Schizosaccharomyces pombe: one gene and its partners. Changing the gene in region 1 together with any one later gene gives a genetic interaction. Each region holds a gene or a part of one and is shown on either strand. Other genes may lie near its edges.

Region 1 (4,470 bases):
TAAAAAATGTTTCTCAGATGGCAAGTAATACTTTAAGCACACTTAGCCAAAACACCAACCATTTTGACGAGAACCACAATTTAGTGATTGTCGGAATTGAACTTTGATTAGCATTCTTACTTATTTTTTTATTTTTAGCAAGAAAAAAAGTTAAGCTCGTCAAGATGGTAAATTTGAATATAAAAGCAATGAGATATCTTTCTGCCGAGGATTTTCGCACTCTGACAGCTGTAAGCACTTTATTTTATCTTTGGGCAGTCATATAGCTTAAATCGTTTTGATCGTACAATGTTTTGTATTTTCTTACTTATTGACACATACGATATGATGCATTCAATTAATTATATTTTGATTTCAATAAGTATTCGAACTAACAAGTTATAGGTAGAAATGGGAAGCCGTAATCATGAAGTTGTTCCAACGAATATGATTAATCAAATTGCTAAAATACGCGGTGGCTCTTGTACGAAATCATTGTCCGTTTTGTTTATGCATAAATTAATTGCAAAGGTGCCGCATATCAGCTATGAGGGCTATCGACTAACATATGCGGGATATGATTACTTGGCATTGAAGGCCTTGTCAAAGAGAGCATCCGTTTACTCTGTCGGTAATCAAATAGGCGTCGGTAAAGAATCTGATGTCTACGTCGTAGGAGACCAAAAAGGAAAGCAATATATCTTAAAAATCCACAGGCTTGGGCGTATATCTTTCCGGAGTGTAAAAAACAATAGAGATTATTTGAGAAATCGTAAAACTGGATCATGGCAGTATCTGTCTCGATTAGCTGCCACAAAAGAATTTGCTTTTATGAAGATCTTGCATGAGCATGGTTTCCCTGTACCTGCTCCAATTGATCATTCCAGGCATTGTATTATCATGGAAATGATTGATGCGTTTCCTCTTCGTGCTGTTACTGACATTCGTGATCCACCTGCTCTATATCAGACATTAATGGATATTATCGTTCGATTTGCAAGGAATGGGTTAATACATGGTGATTTCAACGAATTTAACATCATTGTTCGTGAAGATGGAACAGCTGTTGTAATTGATTTTCCGCAAATGGTATCTACTAGTCATCCTGATGCGCAATTTTATTTTGATAGAGACGTACAGTGCATTGTGCAATATTTTGAAAAAAACTATCAATACAAAGGTGATGTTCCTAATTTCGAAGACATATCGAAAATGGAAAAGGAAAATAATTTGGATATCATGATTGAGGCTTCAGGATTTAATAAGAAACAATCTAAAGAACTAGAAAAATATAGACAAGAAGAAGAAAAAAGAAAAGAAAATGGTGATGATTTATCTGATAACTATGAAGAAGAAGAAGAAGAGAAGGAATGATGGTTTTAATGAAACCATATTGCACAATTGCATGTTCAGTAAAATCATTTATTCATTTTATTAGGTATTTCTGGTGTTAGGGACTAGCATAGGGTTAATATATTCAGCTTTTTTGGTTACTGTTTTAAATTTTCATTTCAATTTGGATGTAGATAAAAGCATTTTAATTAATCTATCAAAAGATACAAGCAAACATTAATTTTCGAATATAAAATGCTCGTTAATTAATGATTACAGGACGTTTTCTGAGCGATACGTTGGTACACGTAGTAAGTTCCACTTTATATACTAAGGCAAAACGCCAAGACCAATGAAATCGGAACCAACATCTTTGGATTTTACATCCTCAAACCTAAGGAGAATGAATCGGGATCATTCTTCAAATAATACGAATAGAACAGTTTTAAACCTGCCAAAAGGTAAATTCTCACACATTCAATTTTAGTTTTCGAGATTTTGTTAACTTTTTCTAGAAATTTTGATCATTATATTTTCGTTTCTTGATCCTCGCTCTTTACTTTCTGCTCAATGCACTTGCAAATATTGGAAAAAGTTATTATCCGATGATTTAAGTTGGCGTACTGCTTTTTTTCATCACTTTGCGGGTGATCAGTCGCAAATATTTAGTCCACTAGGTAATGGAACATGGCGGCAAGAATATCTTTTACGTTCTACCATTACTAGAGCTTATGAAAAAGGGAAAGGGCAAACAGTTCAGTATGATTGTCGCGTTGGACAATTGACCAACCTTTATTACGACTTTTCTTCAGGAAGGCTTTATTCAGGAAATTGGCTTACTGGAACAATCTCCGTTTCCGACCCTACCACTGGAAAGGTTGAGAGGTCTTTATTACATGCTAGTACTGATGGCAGCTTTACGCATGGATTATCTACAATGACATTGGGGAAACAAATTTTTGGCTTTGGTTTTATGGATGGTCGCGTTGGAGTTATTTTGATGTCACGTCAAGCCGAGACTCCTCGAAAATTTCGTTATTGTCTGGATTCCCATGCTGATTCAGTTACATGCATTGATGCATTAACCGGTGATTTGCCCCCCACTGGGGAAATCGGTATGGTTACTGGATCAGATGATGGATCCGTGCATTGCTGGGATGTTAAAACAGGTGTTAGTCTTCAATCATTTCAATTCCGTTCTTCACAAATCCTTTCTTTGTGTTTCAGGCCGAAATACAAAATGCTACTCGTTGACACTTTTAATTATGAACTTAACTCATATCAATTATACTTAATACCGGGCTATGCTCGCTCCCGAAAGAATGAGCAGCCTATACTTTTATCGTCCAGAAAATGTGTGTTAACTGATGAAGAGGAACCTCCTTGTCTGATGACGGCAGATTGCTGTGCCGGTGTTGCCTTCTTGTCCAGGGGCGCACCGAAAAATTGTATTTGTCGAGTTTCATTTAAAGAATTTTTGGAGAAAAACGATAATGTCGGCGTTCAAACATCTTCAATTCCTCTCAACGGAAAACCAACCTCAATCTCCTTAGATACGAACGATCGTGTGTTGTCAAAATCAACTCCTGGTAGAGGAGCAAGACTGCTCGCTGTTGGTGATGAAAATGGTTTGGTTTATGTTGTAAACACTCGCACTGAAGATCCTAACAAGGCCATTCTTAGAACTATTACTGCATACTCAAATTTTCCTATTACCGATATTTACTTGAATGAAGTTGCAATGGTAGTAGGGTCGGCTAGCGGCTATTGCGGAGTATACGATACCGTTACTGGGAATTTTTTGAAAAAAATAGCGAGTGCCAGGAATGCTGCTAGAAGAGAACCAATTAATTGCATACTGCTTGACTCAAATCCGTTAAGTTTGAAAGGTGTGATCACCATGAGCAAGCATGTCAAATCTTGGTCTTATACAATTCCCAAACCTTTTGTTAATAAAAGGTCCAAGGTTTTACCCTTGAGACCTTCGGTGACACACGATAATCTGTCGAAGTCGTCTGACTACTCAAAAAATGAAGTCGAAAGAGAAATCATGTTAGGTTTGGACCAAATTGCTCAGGAAAGACGAGAAAAAATGGAAGCCCGGCAAAAATTTGAACAGCATTTTGGTGAGGGCTTGGTTGGTTTAAGTGAAGAAGAAATCATAGCATATGTTACCATGCTTTCACAAGAAGAGGAAGCTAAGAGAATGGTTCAGCTCTCCATGGATGTTGATAAAATAGAAGAAGATTTTAAAGAAAACGATGAACAAGCTACATCGTCATTAAATGCTTTAAGTTCAAATCATGAGCCACCGCAAGAACAAGCGAATGTTGCTGAACTGAACGAACAAGAGCAGATTGAACTAGCCATGCGATTATCACTCATGGAAATGTGATACACCTAGTAGTTTACTAAGAGGGAAAAAGTAGAAAAATATACGTTAGTTAAATTTTTGCATCTGCATATAGTCATGTCCTTCATCTATTTATTACATGCTTCATCAATCTTCCGAAGTAAAAAAAGGAGGAGGATTCAAGGGATTTTGGTGGGAATTTTTATAATTCAAAATAGAGGTTACTTTAATTTTGTTAATAAAATCTTTTAGGAATACGTATTTTCTTATATCCTACTATGCTTATTTAAGGATAATATTATTGCTTAATAAAAGCATAAAAAAATATTCTTAAGGCATACGCACCGTTGATCAGTGAATGTATAAAAAGTATCGCTTGATTGCGTTATCTGATTTTCAAAATTTCAATTATCGCAAACATCTCGTTAAATGTAAAAAAGTGTTCAGCAAAACAATGAGCGAACGTTCCTTACCTCCTCCAACACAGTGACAAGAACAACAATGGCGGGATCAGTGGATAAACCTTCTTATGAGCTTTTTTCCAAGGACACCAGAGCCTTTGTGTATGGCATGCAGACAAAGGCTGTTCAAGGAATGCTTGACTTTGATTATATGTGTGGTAGAACTGTTCCATCTGTAGCTGCTATCATATATACGTTCGGTATGTGCTTCGTTGATATAAAAATTTGAATACTAACGCGTGCTTAGGAAGTCAAAGTATCAGCAAGCTTTATTGGGGTACTAAAGAAATTCTGTTGCCTGTTTATCGTACAATTGAAGAAGTAAGTTGTCCGCATAAATATGCT
Region 2 (6,151 bases), on another chromosome or scaffold:
TAGATTTCAAATTTCTTCATTAAAACAAACATAATAAAAAATTAATCGCTTACTTTATTTGAAGAAAAATTACATTTTAGACAAAATAGTTTGTCCAAAATGTTTATTGGATAATAGCGTTCTCTGTCAACACATTTCACGTAATTTTCCGTCTAGTATTCAGCAAACATCTACCAAGTGCTAAGAATCAGAAAGGTTGGCTAAATGATCAGTTTATGATCGCCGACCGAGTAACATGTCAGTCTTTTGAAAAAAACCATACAGTGCATGTGATTGTCTACTTCGTTTTCGCTTTACAGATCAGATCTACATAGCATTTCGGCAGGTAAATTCGTTTAACAATTTCTGCATGTAATTCTCTTTTTTTGACGAATTGTAAGCTATAACTACTGCAATATTTTCACGTTCTCCAACGCCTCCTACAAATTAATACTAGACAATAGGACCAAAAGTGTAAATAATACATCAGTAATCATTTGATCCAAGCTTTTTTATTCGCAATATATTGATTCTTAAAAGAAAGTTCTAAAAAAGCCAGTGGATACAAAATTTAATCAAACATTTTGTAATTATGGTGAAAATTTTAAAAGAAAGCCAAAACAATTTTAAACTCAGGTTACATGATATGCCTTTCCAACATTAACTATGTGCATTATTAACATAGAGCCAAATTCTGAGGTAGTGATAAAAAACGCTTTAATGTTCGCTTGCCTCAACAATTGCGTTCAAAATAGCGGCCAATGCAAAGGCACCAGGATCCGGCAATCCTCCCTCACTATCAAGCTTATGAAGTTCTTCTTTAGCAACATAAGATGCTCTTCCAACGACAGCATCCATTTTTCTAGTTTGTTCAGAACCTTCAGTGGCAGCTTTCGCAGCAGCATCAAGTCCCTTACCCTCATTTAAAGTTTCAACAAATGGTTGAATAGCATCAATAAGCGTTCGGAATCCTTTACGGGCTCTAGTGTATTTGAAAAGAGCGTCAAGTGCATACTTGCTTGCAAACGCAAATGTATGCACGGATAATTCGGAATCGCCTGACTCATGAACTCCTTTGGCTAGCGCAGACAAATAAATCGAGTAAAGACCACCCGATGTACCTCCCATCGAATCCTCAACAATATAGGCCAAATCGTCAATACCATTTACACCATCATCCAATCGAATCGATTTATCATTAATAGCCTTTGTGATGGCCTCTCCACCATTCACAAGGGTTGTTCCACAATCACCATCTCCTGCAATCGTATCGTACCAAGTTGTCTTTGGCTCAAATTCATTGATAGCGTCAACGGCAGCTTTTAAAATTTTAGTAAACATCTTTGGGTCAGCCTTTACACCGCTGTGCTTCTCATTACGGGTATGCTCCAAAGCGGGAGCTGTTGGCACCTTGCCGTCAGCCAAAACCTCCCAGTCCTTTGCGTTATGATAAGAAACGTTCCATCCACTAGCGGTTGTTGGCAAGTCAAAATATTTGAAAATATCTGGAGTAGCCTTAGAAGCATTGACCAATGTAATTCCAAAACCAGGACCGTTCAGAGCGGTTACAAACGTACCAGACATGGTTCTTTTAGGAATGATACCTCGTTTGGCTAATTGTTCCGAAACTACTTCAGTAGCATATCCCAACTCTAAATTGGACATACCACCCATATTGTTTACTAGAAGGATAACATCGTCTTTTGAAGAAAACTCTACGAAACTATTGTCCGGGTTTTTCTCACCAAACAAAATTGAAAGCATCTCTGTAACTAGCTCGGGAATAGATGGAAGTGGTGATGATTTGAAGGTTCCAGGCTCGTTATGAATACCCATGCCAATCTCATACTCGTCTGGACCCAAGTTGGTTTCAAATTTGCGACCGGGAACGGCGCAGTGATCCAATGAAGCTGCTATGGTAGCAGCATTGTCAATCACTGATTGGGCCACTTGAGCAACTTGATGCAGATCCAATCCTAATGCTGCTGCAGATCCCGCAATTTTGTGTACTAGCACAGTGGCTCCTAAACCTCTTCTTCCTACGAGTGCACCTCTTTTTTTGCCTACAGAAACATCATCTCCTACGGCAACAAGCTCAACGTTCATTCCAGCTGCCTTGGCTCTCTCAGCTGCCAGGCCAAAATGAATAATATCGCCTGTATAATTCTTGACAATAATTAAAGTTCCCTTAGGAGAAGCAACAGCTTTGAGGGCAGAGTAAATTTGTTTAGTAGAGGGAGAAGCAAAAATGTCTCCACAAGCTACAGCGTCCAAGGCTCCATCACCAACAAAACCTGCATGTGTAGGCTCGTGCCCACTACCACCACCAGACACTAAAGTTACTTTAGGAAGATCACCAGAACCCGGGGCAGAAGCTGTCCTGTAAATCACACGATCATGTTCAATAACAGTAAGACCAGGGTTACTTCTAGCAAGTCCAAGCAAGTATGGGCGTACTATATGTCCGTCAGATACAAATTGTTTTACAGACATTTTTAATTGAAAAGAAACGTTCCCTTCCTGCTTTTTTATCTCATTCTTTACATTACTACTACCCCGCGCGCGGTGCGTTCTAAGATTTGCAAATATCCGGCATACCCGCCTAGCTGACCAATTGTTGATTACGGTTGAAGCGGCAGTTATGCGAGTGTGCAAACGCATTGTATAAACTTGTCCAATTCAGGGAAATTTATAACACATATTCTTAATATTCTGTAGATAAATTGATTTGCGCTTAAGATTCGTCACCAAATTTGTGCCGCCACTACACGTTGTCATCGACGGTTGCTTAACTTCGGTTATCTGGACCACTTGCATGAGTATATAATGCACTGTTTTACTCCACCTTATTCCCAAAGCTATTTCAAACCTTAATTTTGGTATTCCCGCCAGTACCCGCGTGCATTCAAAAAATTTCCATAAAAGCCAAGATTTGTCCCGTCTAATTCACTACTAAATGAGCGTCCCTTTACGCTTCTCGACACCATCATCATCTCCTTCAGCCTCAGATAATGAGAGCGTGCATGATGATGGTCCCACAACTGAATTAGACACTTTCAATACGACGGACGTGCCAAGAAGAGTCAATACCACTAAAGCTCGACAAATGCGTCCCAAAAATACCCTAAAAGTTGCGTTCTCTTCACCCAACCTCAAAGGCCTGGACAACACTGCCGACTCGGATTCTCAACCCTGGCTTGGTGGGTACCTTGCTGGAAGACTTGAAGATATATCCGGACAATCGCGTCGAAATTATGTTGATCCTTATTACGAAGAATTGAATGCTGGGAGGAGACCCAACAAACCGGTGTGGAGTTTGAATGGACCATTGCCACATGTTCTTGGTAACTCTGTGGTAGAAAAAATATCTCAAAAGAATCAGGAAGCTCGTTCTAGAGCAAATTCCAGGGTGAATTCCAGAGCAAATTCCAGAGCAAACTCCTCGGTCTCTTTGGCTGGTATGGATGGATCGCCCAATTGGAAACGGAAAATGAAGAGTGCTGTTTTTGGATCAAGAGTCAAGCTTAATGATGAAGAAGCTCAATTGCCGCGCAATAAATCTTCCGTTTCCATAGCGGAACAAGCCGCTTCAAGACCCAAAGTTAGTTTCTCGCTTCAAAGCAGCCGTCAACCATCCATTGCTGAGGAGCAACCCCAAACCCAGCGTAAGTCTTCCGCGATAACGGTAGAGCATGCGGAAAATGCTGAACCAGAGACCCCAAGAAATAATGTTAGTTTCTCTAGGAAACCGTCAATAGCTGAACAAGATTCATCTCAAGATATTACTATGCCTCCTAATGAAATTATTGCTGAAGAAAGTTTAGACTCGGGAAGCGATACTGAAACCCTGTATCTCAACTATTGGTGCAAGATTAGACACTTTTTTCGTGAGGGTTTTGCTGAGTTCCTGGGCACTTTGGTTTTGGTTGTGTTTGGTGTAGGCAGTAATTTGCAAGCTACCGTCACTAATGGAGCAGGTGGAAGCTTCGAATCCCTTTCTTTTGCTTGGGGATTTGGTTGCATGCTTGGCGTTTATATAGCTGGTGGAATCAGTGGTGGTCATGTCAATCCCGCTGTGACTATCTCATTAGCCATATTTCGCAAATTTCCTTGGTATAAAGTGCCAATCTACATTTTTTTCCAAATCTGGGGTGCATTCTTTGGAGGTGCACTTGCCTATGGTTACCATTGGAGTTCAATTACTGAATTTGAAGGAGGCAAAGATATTAGAACACCGGCAACAGGTGGTTGTTTGTACACCAATCCAAAACCATACGTCACTTGGAGAAACGCATTTTTCGATGAGTTTATTGGAACAGCCGTTTTGGTAGGATGTTTATTCGCCATTCTAGATGATACCAACTCTCCACCAACCCAGGGCATGACTGCTTTTATCGTTGGTTTGCTTATTGCAGCTATTGGTATGGCTCTTGGATATCAAACAAGTTTCACTCTGAATCCAGCTCGTGACTTGGGACCTCGTATGTTTGCATGGTGGATTGGCTATGGACCACATTCATTTCACCTGTATCATTGGTGGTGGACTTGGGGTGCTTGGGGCGGTACCATAGGAGGTGGTATTGCTGGAGGACTTATTTATGATTTAGTAATATTTACGGGCCCAGAGTCTCCACTTAATTATCCAGATAACGGGTTTATCGATAAAAAAGTGCATCAGATTACCGCAAAATTTGAGAAGGAAGAAGAGGTTGAAAACTTGGAAAAAACAGATTCTCCGATTGAGAATAATTGAACTCTTAATAATCTTTCATGTCACAAAATGCAGAAGATTGAAACCATTTACTTTTTATTTATTTATTCTTATTATTGTGGAGCAGCTTTTCTCTTTATACTAAGCATATATTAGCTTTTATATTATCTTTTGAGATGGACAAAGAGCTATGTCTTCCCCATTTTTTTTGTTTAATTTAAGCACTAGGGTTTTGTTGTGTTACTCTTTGTTGCTGTAAAAATTTTCAGCTTCTTAATGCTTGGGACGCCCTTATGTTGTTGCAATAGCGGCAGCTTCAATTAAAATTGATTTCATATCAAAAAAGACGATTTTCCCATTATATTGCGGTGTCTCGAATTTATTACTTCTTCCCTCAACTTACTTTGAAACCTAATTTTTGGATTCCTGTTGACTTCTTTTTTACGTTTTTGCGTATTACCGATTTTTCTTCCGCTTTGCGTAACACAATTTTCTTGCTCTCTTCTTTACTCTATGTACTGCGAAAGTAGTACGATTACCTTGTATGATTACTTATATTGCCCAACCCCCTTTTCAAGTTCAACTTTGACCGAAATTTTCTCTTCTCTTTTTTGCTATTTATTCATATATCTACCTGTAATTTTTAGTCCTTAAAACATTTGGTTTTTCAAAACAACAGATATTAAAAATGGCCGATATGACCATTACGTCATGAAATACTTGCTTCTCTATTTGGTTAACATACTTAGGATTTAGCTAAATTAGTTAAGATATCAAAAAAGTTTTAACTCATATCTAAAGATTTTTTTATTTAGAATAATTGGACGTTATGTTATGATATATAATTTTATGATTCACTTTTGTCGATTTTGTTAAAACATGTTTTGTTAATATTTAAAAGCTCAACGAGGATGAAATTTTTCTGTACATTTTAAACATAAAATACATTCTAGATATTGAATGTAATACCAATATTTTCATGAACACGCTGTTTAAAAAATATTTTTCGGTAACCCATTATTTGGTATTGTTTTCGTATAATAGTTAAATAATCAAACTTCTATAAAATTATAAAGCAAACCAACGACTGAAAGCATTTTGTAAAAAAACTTATAAAATCAGTGGGAACAGCTTGTAGATTCACTAATGTCATTATATAAACCGATTATTTTTCCAAAGGCATTATCAAAATTTATTTCGGAATGCAAGGATTCCCGTAAAACTAAAACCGTAGTTTATTAAATTTTAAAATTACTTTCATTTCCAGTATTTTTACGGTATGTATTTATAAAGTTCAAACTCACTTGGAAATTGAATGTCCGGAACCCTGCTTTTTATGTTTAATATCCGAGTTTAATATATTGGATATTCCAGTAGTCATTTTATGAATACCAAACCTCTGTTTTGGGAAGAGAAGAACTAGTATGCGATGGCAAATATTTTTTTTCTGTTTTAATTAGA
Region 3 (4,849 bases), on another chromosome or scaffold:
CTGAACATAGTCTTCAAATTGTGGGACGATCGTAAGCCGTCTATCGTGAATCAGCATGAATAATTGCTGCATAATAATATCGATGGACCAACCATCGTATAAAGCGTGATGCCAGACAATGCTGAGATAACAGTTACTGGAGTCATAAATTACAGCAGCATCCAATGGACCACTGTTTAGAAATTGTTCATCAAATTCTTTGGTAGTAAAATGTTTTTGAATGCACTCTAGGCAATTCTTTGAATACGAATACAATGGAGGCTTCTTTTCAAGAATAAACCGAGTAAATCCCTCATTTTCGTCCAAAGCAAAGCCATTACTCAGTATAGTATGTGTATCTAGTAATTTCTCCCAGGCAAGCTTAACTTTTTCAGGTGAAGCTGCAATTTTAAAAACAGTGTGATTGAAATATAGATTTCCATTATTTGAGAACGATTCATAGAGCATTCCTTTTTGAAGTGGTGTGCATTTATTAAGAAAATTGTTCTTTGACTGAACTTCGTTGGGTTTGAGTAAAATTAAGCTCTCAGCTATTTTGAAAACCACTTTACTAGTCAAAACAATTGATGGATTTGCCTCAAAACCTAAGGACCTAATCTTACGCACGAAATAGACAATATCTAAAGAATCCAATCCCAAGTCAAAAATCGACGAAAACCGAGAAATAGATACAACAGAGTTAAATCTCTTTTCACATATTTCATGTAACACATTAGCGACTAACAGTTCAGATTGATTAAAGCTAGAGAAATCAGTAGAGTGTTTATCAGAAGCAGAAAATTGAATTTTCAATGCTTTGCGATCTGTTTTTCCACTTGCTAGTCTTGGAAACCCAGGTAAGCCAACGTATTTTGTTGGGCACATCCAACTAGCAAGGTGGGATTCAGCGTGCTTTCTCAATTTCATTTCGTCGCCGACATAAAAAGCAACCAAATTGTCGCCAATTTTTTCAATAGCCAAAGAATCGACGGAGGGTGCTAATTTTGATTCAATTTCTCCAATTTCAATACGCCTACCTCTTATTTTTATTTGCATATCACCAGCAATCCTCCCGAATATATATAATTTCCCATTTATTATACGGCCCAAATCGCCAGTTCGGTAAATTGACAGAGTTTGTTCGTTATATTGAACCTCAACAAAGGCCTTTGCATTAATCTCTGGTCGATTAATGTATCCACTAGACAACTGTGGGCCAGCAATACATACTTCTCCTAGAAATCCTTCATGCAACACATGCGGCTGAGAATCTTCAGTAGGAAGTGAAACAACGCATATTGTTGCTGATTGTAATGGCACGCCAACTAAATAAACCGTGGTTAACGCTTTGGAAGGATTAAGCGTAACATGTATAGCTGCTTCTGTCGGACCATAAGCATTTACTAAACGTTCTCCCCAAAAGTCAATGATTCTATTAGTGAGCAACTCACCGATCGTTATGAGCATTCGAACACTTGTAAATAATTCCTTATTTTCGTCAAGCGAGATAACATTAGCAACAGTGGGTGTTAGTTCCAAAGCAGCGATTTTATAATCATATATTAAATACTCCAAATTTCCGATCAAGTTCTGCCTTTTCGAAGTCACCAACGTCAGACCGTTATTCCAATTTCCAAAAATTTCAAAAACCGATACATCAAAGGTCACGTTGGCAAACTGCAACCAAGCATCACCACGTTCAAGCCCAAACATTGGATATAAATACCCGTGGGATTTGATAGAATTGGTAGCAGCTCGATGAGAGATTGCAACACCCTTGGGATTTCCAGTTGAACCAGATGTGTACAGAACATAAGCAACGGAATCAAGGCTTTCAGGAAAGGGAAAGGGGGGTATCTCATCATCGACTTTGATCTCCATTGACTCATTATACTCAGGAACCTTTAATATAATTGTGTTATTAGGAAATCGATTAACAAACTCTTCAGAGACAATAGCAAAAGACGCATCAACATCTTTACTGATAAAGTGGACCCTTTCAGTACGAGTTTCTACATCAATGGGACAATAAGCATTACCACTGTAGAGGATTGCAAGAATACCAACGAAAAGAGCAGGTGAATGAGATACCATAATAGGAACTACCTCATTCTTACATGTAACGAGTTTGGAAAGTTTTATTGCCAAAGAGTGAAGCTCGAGAAAAGAAAATGATCTAAAGGTATCCTCCAGATCATCGCCAATTTCATATATAAACTTCAAAGCATCTTGATAAGGGTGAGAAAGAGTATTATGATAAAAACACCCGTGTAAATAATTAGCAAGAGATGAAGAGTTTAAGCATAAATCGGAACAAGGAGAATTAAGGATGGAGAAGGGGAGGTCGTAATTAGTGATTTTTGAGTTAATCATGAAAAAAAGTAATCTTGCTAAATCATCATCAAACAGAGACGAATTCCATTTTAAAGTAAGGAAATTGGGAGAACAGACAAAGGCTATGTCGGCAACCACATCCATAGATCGAAAAGCGGTTATGTCTGAAAAATAAGATAAAAGTTGATTCAAACATGGTTTAGATGATTCAAACAAATCGTCAGCAAAGGATGGATCTCGACGCGAAGTGAAAACGGCAGAATGTAGTTTATGTAGGTGAAAAACTTCTAAGGGTTCTAGTTGGGAGTTTGTAGAATGATATAAGTAGCATTGGCAATTTTTAGGATTAGTATTAGGAATCACATCGTCTGAAACAGGAAAAAAAAAGAATGAAACTTCTCCACCAGTGATACCACAAAACAGCCAACTCCAAGCGTCCAAAAATGCAGAGTAAGGATGTGAAAAGGGAAGTGATAAAACGTGATAGGGGGCATCACTTGACGGCCGCATAGGACCTAATTGAGAAATTTGAGTTGAGAAAGCATCTTCTTCATTTGAATTCTTCATAAGTCTCAATCAAAAAATTTAGTGACACGGAAATATTTTATAACGAAGGTGTTGTTTCACAAATGTATCAATAGCTAAAGGATGTATTAATCCTTCATTAAAACACAGTAGCAGTAAGAACCAAGTAGAGGAATATCCTGCTAAAATATGGATGCTTGTAATATTACACCACCCTTGCTTAACGAAGTTTAGTTACGTGATTTGGCGCAGCCTTAAAGTTCGTTATAATGTGCAATCAAAAAGGCCTGTCTAAACAAGGCAATCAACAAACTGGAAGTTTTTCGGGTGACTATTTTCATCGGAGTTTGCTCTTTTAAGTGAATTTTTCAATACTTTCGAAAGATCATGAAAAGCCTCATTACTAATCTTTTCCGAAATTTAAAATGGAGAGATATCAAATGAAGTGCATGTGACCTAGATTTTCGCTTACAATATTGCCCACTTTACCACCTTATATTTATCAGATCGATAGAGATCGGATGAAGAGAGTCTAGAAGATCAACGCGGGGTGCCGGTCGGTAAACCTGAGTCCAAGTAAAGGGGACTTTTTGTAGTGGAAAACGAATGAATAGAGTTTTCCATTTTTTCTGATGTCTCATTTAATCGATGCCATTCTATTAAAAAAAATGTGTTGTAACACACTTACCACTTCCTTTTCGCTTTACTCCAGATTTGCTTCCGCATAGTTCAAAAAACTACGGACTTGCGAGATACAGAGCATGCGACCGCAGCATAGAGAAAGTGGATGAAAAGGGGAGGGAAAGAAGATGACAGAGAAATATAGACCTTGGTATGCGGTAATTTTAACGATTTTCAAATAATTTCATAACAAAGACTCGGTTTTCCGTAATACTAAATTTGGCAGTACACTTTTCACCTTCTGTTTATACCTAAGAATACAAAACGATGCTTAATTTTAGGCACTTCTTATTTTTTGTTTATTCGTATGTACGCGAGGAGAAAACATATACCTGGCGATGCTTTGTTTTAATTTCCCATAAAAAAAGAATTTCGCTCAAGAAAAACAGAATTTTCATTTCACCATCCTCTTTTTTTTAACGGTTGTTTATGCTTCGAGATTTTCTCGGATTTCACAAAATTTCCACCTTAACTGCAGTTACGTAAGGGCTTAGCGCTATGACGGAGAAAGCGCGACATATGTTATCGAAAGGGAATGGACTCCTTAAAATACATGTGCTCATATACTTCCATTATATAGGCTCATTTTCGCACGTATTGTGGGTTGGATAACAATATTTTAAAATCGACCAACAATCTTCTTGCAAACATTTGTAGTAGTGCTAGCCTAATTAATTTCAAAAAGCCGCGCATTCTAGAATATCGTGAAACTTGGTAAGTATGAAAAGGAAAAATATGTTTTTTCGGATAATGGAACCAAGTTTTCTAATATTATTGCTTGCTTAGGGAAAATCCCTAATTATCTAATTAATTCATTTCGTCCCTCTTTCTTAAAAAAAAACCTTTGGAAATAAGAAAATGACTGAACCTCTAGATTTAGCAATTATTGGATTTGGTCCCGCTAGTCTTTCTTTCCTTATTGCTTTGCATGACCATTCGGAGGAGCCCTTAAAGAACAAAAAAATCCGCGTGTTTGAAAAGTTGCCCACGTTTTCCTGGCATGAGGGTATGCTGATTCCTGGTTCAAACATGCAAATCTCATTTGTAAAGGATTTGGCAACGCCCAGGGATCCTACTTCTTACTTCACCTTTTTAAACTATCTACATTCGCATGGCCAGGAACGATTATCTGGTTTCCTTAACATGTCCACCCTAGAGCCATCTCGTTACGAATACCATGACTACTTATGCTGGGCAGCCAGCCATTTCTCCAAGTTTGTCGAGTACAACGCTAACATTAATAAACTCCATTACGATGCCGCAACTGATCTGTACATTGTGGGTCACGGTGATACTCAATGGCAAGCGAAAAACATCATTATTACTACGG

The links. Genes that interact genetically often act in the same process or in processes that back each other up.
Region 2: mutations in pof10 (region 1) and SPOM_SPAC977.17 together harm fitness less than expected from each alone (positive genetic interaction), as found in Schizosaccharomyces pombe (one large-scale study listed by BioGRID).
Region 3: mutations in pof10 (region 1) and sib1 together harm fitness less than expected from each alone (positive genetic interaction), as found in Schizosaccharomyces pombe (one large-scale study listed by BioGRID).

What each region holds. Positions count from the first base shown.
Region 1 is NC_003423.3:2,923,849-2,928,318, forward strand, and holds pof10 (F-box/WD repeat protein Pof10), read left to right. Parts: upstream 1-1,665; 5' UTR 1,666-1,714; coding exon 1,715-1,772; exon of another isoform or gene 1,773-1,826; coding exon 1,827-3,706; 3' UTR 3,707-3,942; downstream 3,943-4,470. Other genes in the region: rio2 (RIO family protein kinase), read left to right, coding at 165-230, 385-1,353; acl1 (ATP citrate synthase subunit 1), read left to right, coding at 4,166-4,325, 4,373-4,446. UniProt on the Schizosaccharomyces pombe protein: Probably recognizes and binds to some phosphorylated proteins and promotes their ubiquitination and degradation.
Region 2 is NC_003424.3:64,208-70,358, forward strand, and holds SPOM_SPAC977.17 (MIP superfamily protein), read left to right. Parts: upstream 1-2,472; 5' UTR 2,473-2,935; coding exon 2,936-4,732; 3' UTR 4,733-5,614; downstream 5,615-6,151. Other genes in the region: dihydroxyacetone kinase Dak2, read right to left, coding at 697-2,472.
Region 3 is NC_003424.3:866,648-871,496, forward strand, and holds the start of sib1 (ferrichrome synthetase Sib1), read right to left. Parts: upstream 3,038-4,849; 5' UTR 2,881-3,037; coding exon 1-2,880. Other genes in the region: sib2 (ornithine N5 monooxygenase), read left to right, coding at 4,378-4,849. UniProt on the Schizosaccharomyces pombe protein: Involved in intracellular and extracellular ferrichrome siderophore biosynthesis.